Linked DNA regions of Cricetulus griseus. The protein of the gene in region 1 binds, or shares a complex with, the protein of each later gene. Links are inferred from orthologs where the notes say so. Each region holds a gene or a part of one and is shown on either strand. Other genes may lie near its edges. The genes, in order: Fn1 and Col1a1.

What was found.
Region 2: the proteins of Fn1 (region 1) and Col1a1 are in contact, whole or in part, in a crystal structure (PDB 3GXE), measured with the Homo sapiens proteins. The link is inferred for Cricetulus griseus from reciprocal best matches to the Homo sapiens genes FN1 and COL1A1. Residues at the interface, in NP_997647.2 of Homo sapiens: Asp516, Gln517, Lys533, His535, Glu537, His539, Leu541, Gly549, Arg550, Gly551, Arg552, Trp553, Lys554, Cys555, Pro557, Gln560, Phe569; in NP_000079.2 of Homo sapiens: Leu261, Pro262, Gly263, Met264, Lys265, Gly266, His267, Arg268.

What each region holds. Positions count from the first base shown.
Region 1 is NC_048595.1:425,036,632-425,040,977, reverse strand, and holds the start of Fn1 (fibronectin), read left to right. Parts: upstream 1-1,537; 5' UTR 1,538-1,703; coding exon 1,704-1,866; intron 1,867-2,988; coding exon 2,989-3,117; intron 3,118-3,998; coding exon 3,999-4,136; intron 4,137-4,346. UniProt on the Homo sapiens protein: Fibronectins bind cell surfaces and various compounds including collagen, fibrin, heparin, DNA, and actin. Fibronectins are involved in cell adhesion, cell motility, opsonization, wound healing, and maintenance of cell shape.
Region 2 is NC_048600.1:108,126,040-108,129,842, reverse strand, and holds part of Col1a1 (collagen alpha-1(I) chain), read right to left. Parts: intron 3,678-3,803; coding exon 3,570-3,677; intron 3,470-3,569; coding exon 3,416-3,469; intron 3,154-3,415; coding exon 3,055-3,153; intron 2,933-3,054; coding exon 2,879-2,932; intron 2,789-2,878; coding exon 2,690-2,788; intron 2,222-2,689; coding exon 2,168-2,221; intron 1,983-2,167; coding exon 1,929-1,982; intron 1,829-1,928; coding exon 1,775-1,828; intron 1,680-1,774; coding exon 1,626-1,679; intron 1,246-1,625; coding exon 1,201-1,245; intron 1,110-1,200; coding exon 1,011-1,109; intron 794-1,010; coding exon 686-793; intron 317-685; coding exon 209-316; intron 19-208; coding exon 1-18. UniProt on the Homo sapiens protein: Type I collagen is a member of group I collagen (fibrillar forming collagen).

The DNA.
Region 1 (4,346 bases):
ATTTTGCTGGTAGCTTTAATATGTTCTCAAAGCAAACGAGACCTCGTGCCTAACCGAAGGAGAAAGCCAAGTTTGGGGTGAGGATCTGCTGCTTTGAAAGCTGTGGGCTTCTCGTTTTTGAAGCCCTTCAAAAGCAACTGTGCCTGTGTGTGTCTGGAAAAAAAGAGAGAGAGAGAGAACCAGTGTTTAGAACTGCTGACTGCGGGGGGGGGGGGTATCTCCGGTCCCCTTTACAACCTCAGGAGTGTAGAATGTCCGGAGAATTTTCAGTGGAACTTTATACATTCTTGGAGCAAATAACAATTGAAATATAAAAAAAGAAAAATCTGGCGGCGGAGGAGGAGGGGTGGATAGAGGAATTCTTCCATGACAGTGAAGTCTACAAAAAAGAAAGTGACCACGCGAAGGGATTGGGGGAAAGCTGGAGGAAGTCAAGACCTAAAGGCTTTTCTGCCCATGCCCGCTCTTTTACAGAGGCCACCTCTTCTCTGGATGCAAATGGCCTAGTGAACATGGCATGGACCGGAAGGTTTTTCCCTCCTTCATCAGCCAGTTCAACTACTCCTCTTCTCAAACTGTTCACTCTCCTTCTAAAGGAAACGGGCACTCCATTCCCAGGAGAGGAAAACTTTGCTTCAGGACTCAGAAAAGAAACTGTTGCTTCATCTTTGCAGAGAAACTTGGTCGTGTGAGTTTGCCTGCCGTCTGCCGAGCTCCACGGAGAGCCCCCAGGGCAAGGGTCACCTTTGCCACGCGTTCACTCTCTCCCAGCCGGCTCTTGTTCGAAATCATGTAGGTATTGCTTGGAGGAGCTGGGGTCTGAGCCCAACAGTGTAAAGCAAAGGGGGACCCTAGGCGGCGCACAGGAGACCCAGGAAAAGCACCCAGAAGCAGCCGCCCCACCCCGGGGCTGCAAAAGTGAAGTCTGGATTCCTACAGCCACAAGGTGGTGGCCACTTTATGACTTTCTCGCTCCCCACAAAATACACTCCGGTGAGGACAGACTTTTCTCAGAGGTGACGCAATGTTCTCAAACACCACCACAGCCACCAATTTAAAAAAAGGAAAAAAAAAAAAAAGAGGAAAAAGAGGGGGGCAAGCCTTGTCATCCCAGGCTTCATGTAGCTCCAGCTCCTCCCTCCCTTCCCTCCGGGTCTATCTCACTTTACAGTCGTTTCCCATCCCTACCCCCAATCCTCCTCCAAAAAGTTTGACGACCGCAAAGGAAACCAAAAGGGGAAAAAAAAAGTTTTCTAGCCCCAGACCTGGCGGGAGATCAGCATCTCTTTTGTTCGGGGCGAACCCACCGTCCCCCGTGACGTCACTCGCACTCCGGGCCAATCGGTGCGCGGTCGGCGGCGGCTGCGGCGGCAGGAGGGGTGGGGGGAGTGGGGCCGGTCCCTCCTCCCCAGCCCGCAGGGCCTCGTGGGGGGCGGGAGGGGACTGTCCCATATAAGCCCCGGCTCTTGGGGCATAGCCGCCCGCACCCGCTGCGCTGCACTAGGGGAGGAGAGGGAGCCCCGGGCTTGAGCGGGACCTGCGGCCACAACTTCTGGTCCTCTCCCGCCTTCTTTCCAGCCTCTGTTCCCCATCTTCTTACAGGCGTCCGCACCTCAGGACTTTCCCCCGCAGACTGCGAAGGGACCCACACTTCGGGGCCACTTGCCGCCTGGGGAGGGCGACTCTCCTCCCATCCACTCAAGATGCTCAGGGGTCCGGGACCCGGGCTGCTGCTGGCCGTCCTGTGCCTGGGGACAGCGGTGCGCTGTACCGAAGCCGGGAAGAGCAAGAGGCAGACTCAGCAAATCGTGCAGCCTCAGCAAATCGTGCAGCCTCAGTCCCCGGTGGCTGTCAGTCAAAGCAAGCGTGAGTACCGACAGTCTGGCTGAAACCAAGCGGCCGGCTGCAGGGATGGGTCAGTCCTCAGCGCCCGCTGAAGTTGTAGCGAAAGTTTTGCGCGCGTGCGTGGCTGGGCGAGCGTGTGTGAGTGCGCGCTTCACTGAAAGAAACCAGCTGTGGACACAAAAGGCTTAGGTTTGAACAGGCTGGTTGGGGGTGGAGGGCTCTGGAGAAGATCCTGCAGTTGCGGCGGGGACCGTATGGTCCGCCCCCCCCCCCGCCCCCACAGTGCGCTAACCAATTCTACACCTTCAGATTGCCCTGCCCGGAGCCAAAACTTGTGGTGAAAGAGAAAAGTGACACAAATTTAGACATTTTACGTCTGAGATTAGCGTGATCCCCTCTGCTCCTTATTTTCTTTATTACTAAATAATTGGTTAAATATTTTCCAAATGGGCATGAGGAAAGGATATCTAAATAGTCTCTGACCAACTTGAAAGAGTTGGCTCGGTGCTGCCGTTGGGCTACCTCACCAACAGCAAGGATTGCAATTTCTCTTGGAGTTTTTTAGAGACACACCCTTCTTTTACTTGGGGCTAGAGGAAAATTTAAAAGTTCCCCCTCCTCATTTTTTTATTTTTGAGTTAGTCTCACACTGTAGCCTAAGCTAGCCCCATTACTCTTCCTGTGTAGCCTAGGCTCGTGTTAAACTTGGAGCAATTCTCCTGTCTCAGTTTCCACAGAGCTGGGGTTACAGGCATGGTCAACAGCACACCCAACTTAGCGTTTTCTTGTCTTTTTTTTTTTTTTTTCTAAGACTATTGAAGTGATTTTAAAGGTGATTTCTATTATTTGTGTATCATAATGTTTCCACATTGCTGATGTAGTTCTCCTGGTCAGATGGACATGACATCATTATATAACTTTTAGCCAAGTTAAAAGATAAGAAAAAATATGTAAATACCCACCTACATAAATAATGCTTAAGTCTTTGGACAGCTAGTTTCCACTTCCTTATTTTAGTGGAATATTGTTTTTATGAGATTTTTGTGTTCGTTCAGTCTTGCCAATTCTGTTGACAAAATTTTGTTCGGGGAATAAAAGAGGAGGGATGAAATTGTAATTACCTTTCCCTTCAATTCTTCACAGCTGGTTGTTTTGACAATGGAAAACACTATCAGATAAACCAACAGTGGGAACGCACCTATCTAGGCAATGCCTTGGTTTGTACCTGCTATGGAGGAAGCCGAGGTTTTAACTGTGAGAGTAAACCTGAACGTAAGTGGAATGCAGTCTGGTCGCTGGCAAAAATGATGCTGACTTATTAAAGTTAACTTTCAATAAAAATAATTTGCCCCCCCCACTCCACCCCTGTAGAACTGCCGCTAATTCCCTCTTTGTCAAACCTCTGGTATTGGCTTTTCACATGCTCCTCTTACCCCTAAAACAAATGTATTCCAAACTAGCTTCCAAAACCTTCATTTTATTCTCAAAGAATTTGATTAGAAAATGAAAGGTTTTGCCTGTCTTTCTTCAAAAAGAAAACTTACAAAAGTTTGCTTATAAAAGTTTAATTTATTAGAAAGTTATCTCAGATCTTTGGCTCTCACATTATGGGCCAAGAAATGCTTTGAAGCTCCTGTGTTGTAAAGTGATTTGTTAGCTGCAGTTCAATGAGAAACCACCACCACTTCTGAGACTTTGAAGGCCCTTGATATGTTTCTTGTGAATCACAGCGGTCCCTCCAGAGAAACTGCTCAGGCTACAGGGGAAACATGTCAGTCAGGCTGACAAAGGCCAGTGCCTGCTGAGAGGAAGGCAACCTTCAAACTGTGTGCCTCCCACGTGGCCCTTGAATTGATTTCCCCAGTTTGAGGCTGGAATTTGAAACCTTTTCTTTGCAACTCAGCTGGTCATAGGGTGTGGCTTCTTCCTGAGAATTCTTTACATTGTAAAGAGAGAACAAATTGCAGAGCTTGCCAAAGGCCAAGAACTATGGTTTCATTAAATCATAACTTGAAATTTTTTGAAGTCTCATCTCAGTTACTTGTAGTGTTGCTACTTGTGACCCAGAAGAGGGGCATCTCCCTCAGATGGATGGGAGGGATAGACAAGCTTTTATGTGTGTGAGGCTCACGTGGGCTTCTTCTTCTCCACAGCTGAAGAGACTTGCTTTGACAAATACACTGGGAACACTTACAAAGTGGGTGACACTTACGAGCGCCCTAAAGATTCCATGATCTGGGACTGTACCTGCATCGGGGCTGGGCGAGGGAGGATCAGCTGTACCATTGCAAGTAAGAAAGGCGCTCTGTAATGTGGTGGAGGGCCCATAAACATGTATTTCTCCATCCTGTCCCTGCCGTTTTCTATTGCCTGTGACAGAATATTTCTTACTTTGGGATTTACCCCTGTGACCCTACCCACGTGGTCACCCACCTACTTCTTGTACCTAAGCTGAGGAAGAAGGGTCTAATAGAGGGGTGTGTGTGTGTGTGTGTGTGTGT
Region 2 (3,803 bases), on another chromosome or scaffold:
ACTGGGACCAGTTTCACCCTATGAGGGAGAGACAACAACTCTAAACTCTCCTGCAAGATGAACCAATAACACCTCCCCACCCTTCTGGTCCCTCAAACTTCCTGGGTCACCAGCTTTATATGGCAGGACATGCCTTCCCTGCAGAGCCCCACCTGGGCTTGCTGAGGCAGTTATGTGTTAGGAAATCAGTGACAAAGCAGCCACTCACCTTGTCACCAGGGGCACCAGCAGGGCCAGGAGGACCAATGGGACCAGTCAGACCACGGACGCCATCTTTGCCAGGAGAGCCATCGGCACCTTTGGGTCCAGCATCACCCTAAAGACAGGGTAAAGTCAGACTTCCAGTGTGGGGCCAGGAGTTGAGCTACAGAGTTCTGCAAATATTTCTCAGGGTCCTTCTTCAGGTACAGCATTCTGCAGATGTTTCTCAGACACGGTGCCAAGGATACAAGATCCTTTCAGGGGTAAAGGTGCCTACTTGAGGATTTACGTGGAACCTGGGTTAAGAGGCCCCTGAGGTCAACAGGACAATAAATAAGGGCGCCTCCATTAGGGGAAAGCCCCAGCTCTCATTACCATGGTAACATCAGGAGAAGGGCCTGAATCACAGGCATAAAATTACCCAGCAAAGCAAGGAGATGGGTGAGAACCACCAAGAGCTCATAGGAGGGGAAGGTTGACTTACTCTGTCACCCTTAGGACCTGGAAGACCAGCTGCACCACGTTCACCAGGCATTCCCTGAAGACCGGGAGCGCCCTGGCTACCGGGAGCTCCGGGGGCACCAGTATCACCCTGTTTGGTAAACAAAAAGATGAGTGAGACATGGAGTCCCAGGAAATGTCTCAGAGCCCCTATGTGTGGGTCCAAGGTCAAGGTTCCAGCTAAAAGAACAAACTCACAGATCTGACCTCAGGTTCCATAGGCCCCCACTCTGGTCTTGTCCCCCAACCCTCCACACCTCTATGGTTTGAGTCTCATAGCCATCATACCCTTTCCATGATGCCCTCACCTTGGCACCATCATTGCCAGGAGCACCATTGTTTCCACGGGGACCAGCAGGACCTGGGGGACCTTGTACACCACGCTCACCAGGGAAACCTCTCTCGCCCTACAAAGGAAGGAGAGGGCACATGATGGCTGCTCCAACAGGGCCAAGCCCAGGACATAGTGATGGAAATGGCATGAGAGGGCCCACTTACTCTTGCTCCAGAGGGTCCAGGGGCACCAAGGTCTCCAGGAACACCCTGAGGGTGGGAAGGAGAAACAACAGTGAGACCAAACTCCCCTTGAGCCTCTGCCCCTCTTGCTGTGAGCTGGTCCTTGGGGCCCACATTTAGAGATGGACACATTTTCGGCTGAGAATTGGAATCTCTTTTTAACAGTAGGAAGGCTTGAGGTAAAGCCAGAGTTATTCTGTATAAAGAAGTCACCTTGCCTAGAACCCACACAACCATTTCCAGATCATATGTAGCTCCCATGTTCTTTTTAGTGTAACCACAGTCCTCCCCTGTGTCTAACCTCTCTTTCTAGCTGCTGCCTTCCTGACCAGCTAGGGACAGTGAGTGGTTTGTTACTTTTTTATTTCCTGCATGCTCCTGCCCTCTGCCCAGCTGCTATGTCTTACCTGTTCACCGGGCTTGCCTGCTTCACCAGGAGGACCAGCAGGGCCGGGGAGACCCTGTAAGGTGGGAGATGGAGGGGAAGGGCTTAAAATCTGTAAGAGTTAACAAAGGAACATCCTGAACTCTCTAGAAACCTGTCACCAGACCTTACCTGGAATCCAGGGGAGCCAGCGGGGCCTTGTTCACCTCTCTCACCAGCAGGACCCTGTCACAGAGAAGAGGCTGTGGTCATGAATAGTCCAAGGAGAAGGGAGGCAGAGTGCCCCCTTCCCTGCTCCCCAGGCCTCCCAGACAGAGACACTTACAGCAGGGCCGGGGGCTCCCTGAGCTCCAGCTTCTCCATCTTTGCCAGCAGGACCCTGTAGGGAGAAGGTGATAAACTCAGTGTGGTGAGGCAGATAACAGCAGCAGGTAAGGCCTGAACCTCTGGGACAAAGCAGAGCCCACCAGTGGCTTCCAATGTTCTCACAGTGGCTGCACTCTGAGGATGGTATGTGTCACAGCAGGGACAGAAGGGTGACAGAGACTCAAAAGAGATACTTACAACAGGGCCAGGGGGTCCAGGAACGCCCCGCTCTCCAGCCTTTCCGGGTTCTCCCTATGTAGAAAGGGAGGCAGGGTTGAGGGTCACGGCAGGAGACCGTTGCAGTCAAGGACCCCCTCATTACAGTGAGTGTTCCTAGGGGGCTTTCTGTTCAAGAAGGCTGCAGCCTCTAGGGGAGGCCTTGCTGGCATCTAATGCTTGGCCTCTCTGCCTGCACCCAAAGCAGATGTTGCCCAAGGCTCCTTCCTAGTCACCCTCTCCCCCTCCTTTTCCCTGACTCACACCTGCAATGGCTTTTTATTTCCTCAGCGTTCTCCCTTCCCTACCAAACTTAGGGGTGACTCTTGGATAGAAAGCCCAATACTTATTTGTTGGGGACAAAGCAATGATCATGGAGCCAAGAGTCTCTTATTTTACCAATGGGTCCATATAGGGTTATTAAGGGGCCTGAGGTCATGGAGCAAGTCAGTGGAGTTAGTACAGCTGTCCCTGGTTCTGCTTTGTTCCTCATTGGGTACTTACAGCAGTACCCTTAGGTCCAGGGAATCCCATCACACCAGCCTGGCCACGGGCTCCAGGAGGACCTGGGGGTCCAGGGCGACCATCTTGACCAGCGGGACCCTGAGGACGAGAGGCAGAAGAGTTGCCGTAAGGACAAAGTTATGTATACAGTGGGGTAGGGGTGAAGAGTGAGAGAGGAAGCATACTTACAGGGGGGCCGGTTTTGCCATCAGGACCAGGGCTGCCAGGACTGCCAGTGAGACCCTGTGGAGAGGCAGAAGCATGAACAAAGGAAGGGGGAGGGGGACGGTGTGTGTGTGTGGAGTCTGGAGCACCAATTACAGGCTGTCCCAGTCTCACACAGGACAGAGGGTCTTGGCTCTCACCTTGGCACCAGGGAGACCAGCTTCACCAGGACGACCAGCTTCACCAGGAGAACCTTTAGGACCAGCAGGCCCGGGAGAACCACGTTCACCAGCAGGACCCTAAGTGGATAGAAGTCACAGACACATCAGGGTCACAGCCTTGGCCTCATCACCATGGCTAGCATCTTCTTCATGCTAGGAGAAGGTTCAGGACTTTGAGGGGCATCGGTGGGGATGCCAAAGTGAGGCCAAATATTAGGAGGAGGGATACACAAATATGGGCATGGGTAGCTGGGAGCATTGTTGGGAGCATGAGTGTAGGGAGGTGTGAACAGTCCTGTCAGCTTGGGGGGTCAGTTTCACTGCCAGGAAGAAAGGTTACCTTGGGGCCAGCAACACCATCAGCACCAGGGAAACCACGGCTACCAGGTCCACCCTGCAGGGAGAAAAGAAGAGGCCAGTGAGCTTAATCACCACCCTAGACACTGGGCAAGCACTGAGGGCAGAGAGAAGAGGGAGAAGAGCAGGGGACTTACACGCTCGCCAGGAGGTCCGGGCAGGCCAGTCGGTCCAGGTTCACCACGGGCTCCTCGTTTTCCTTCTTCCCCAGCAGGGCCAGGGGGACCTTGAACACCAGCAGGGCCCTGGAGTGGGCAGAGAGAGAGTGGCCTACGTGAGGGGCACAAGACCCAGGAGCCTACAAGGCTGACCTCTAGCAGGGGTGGGGGCTCCCTTCCTCCTTGGGTTTCCCTGGAGAGGCTCCCAGGCCC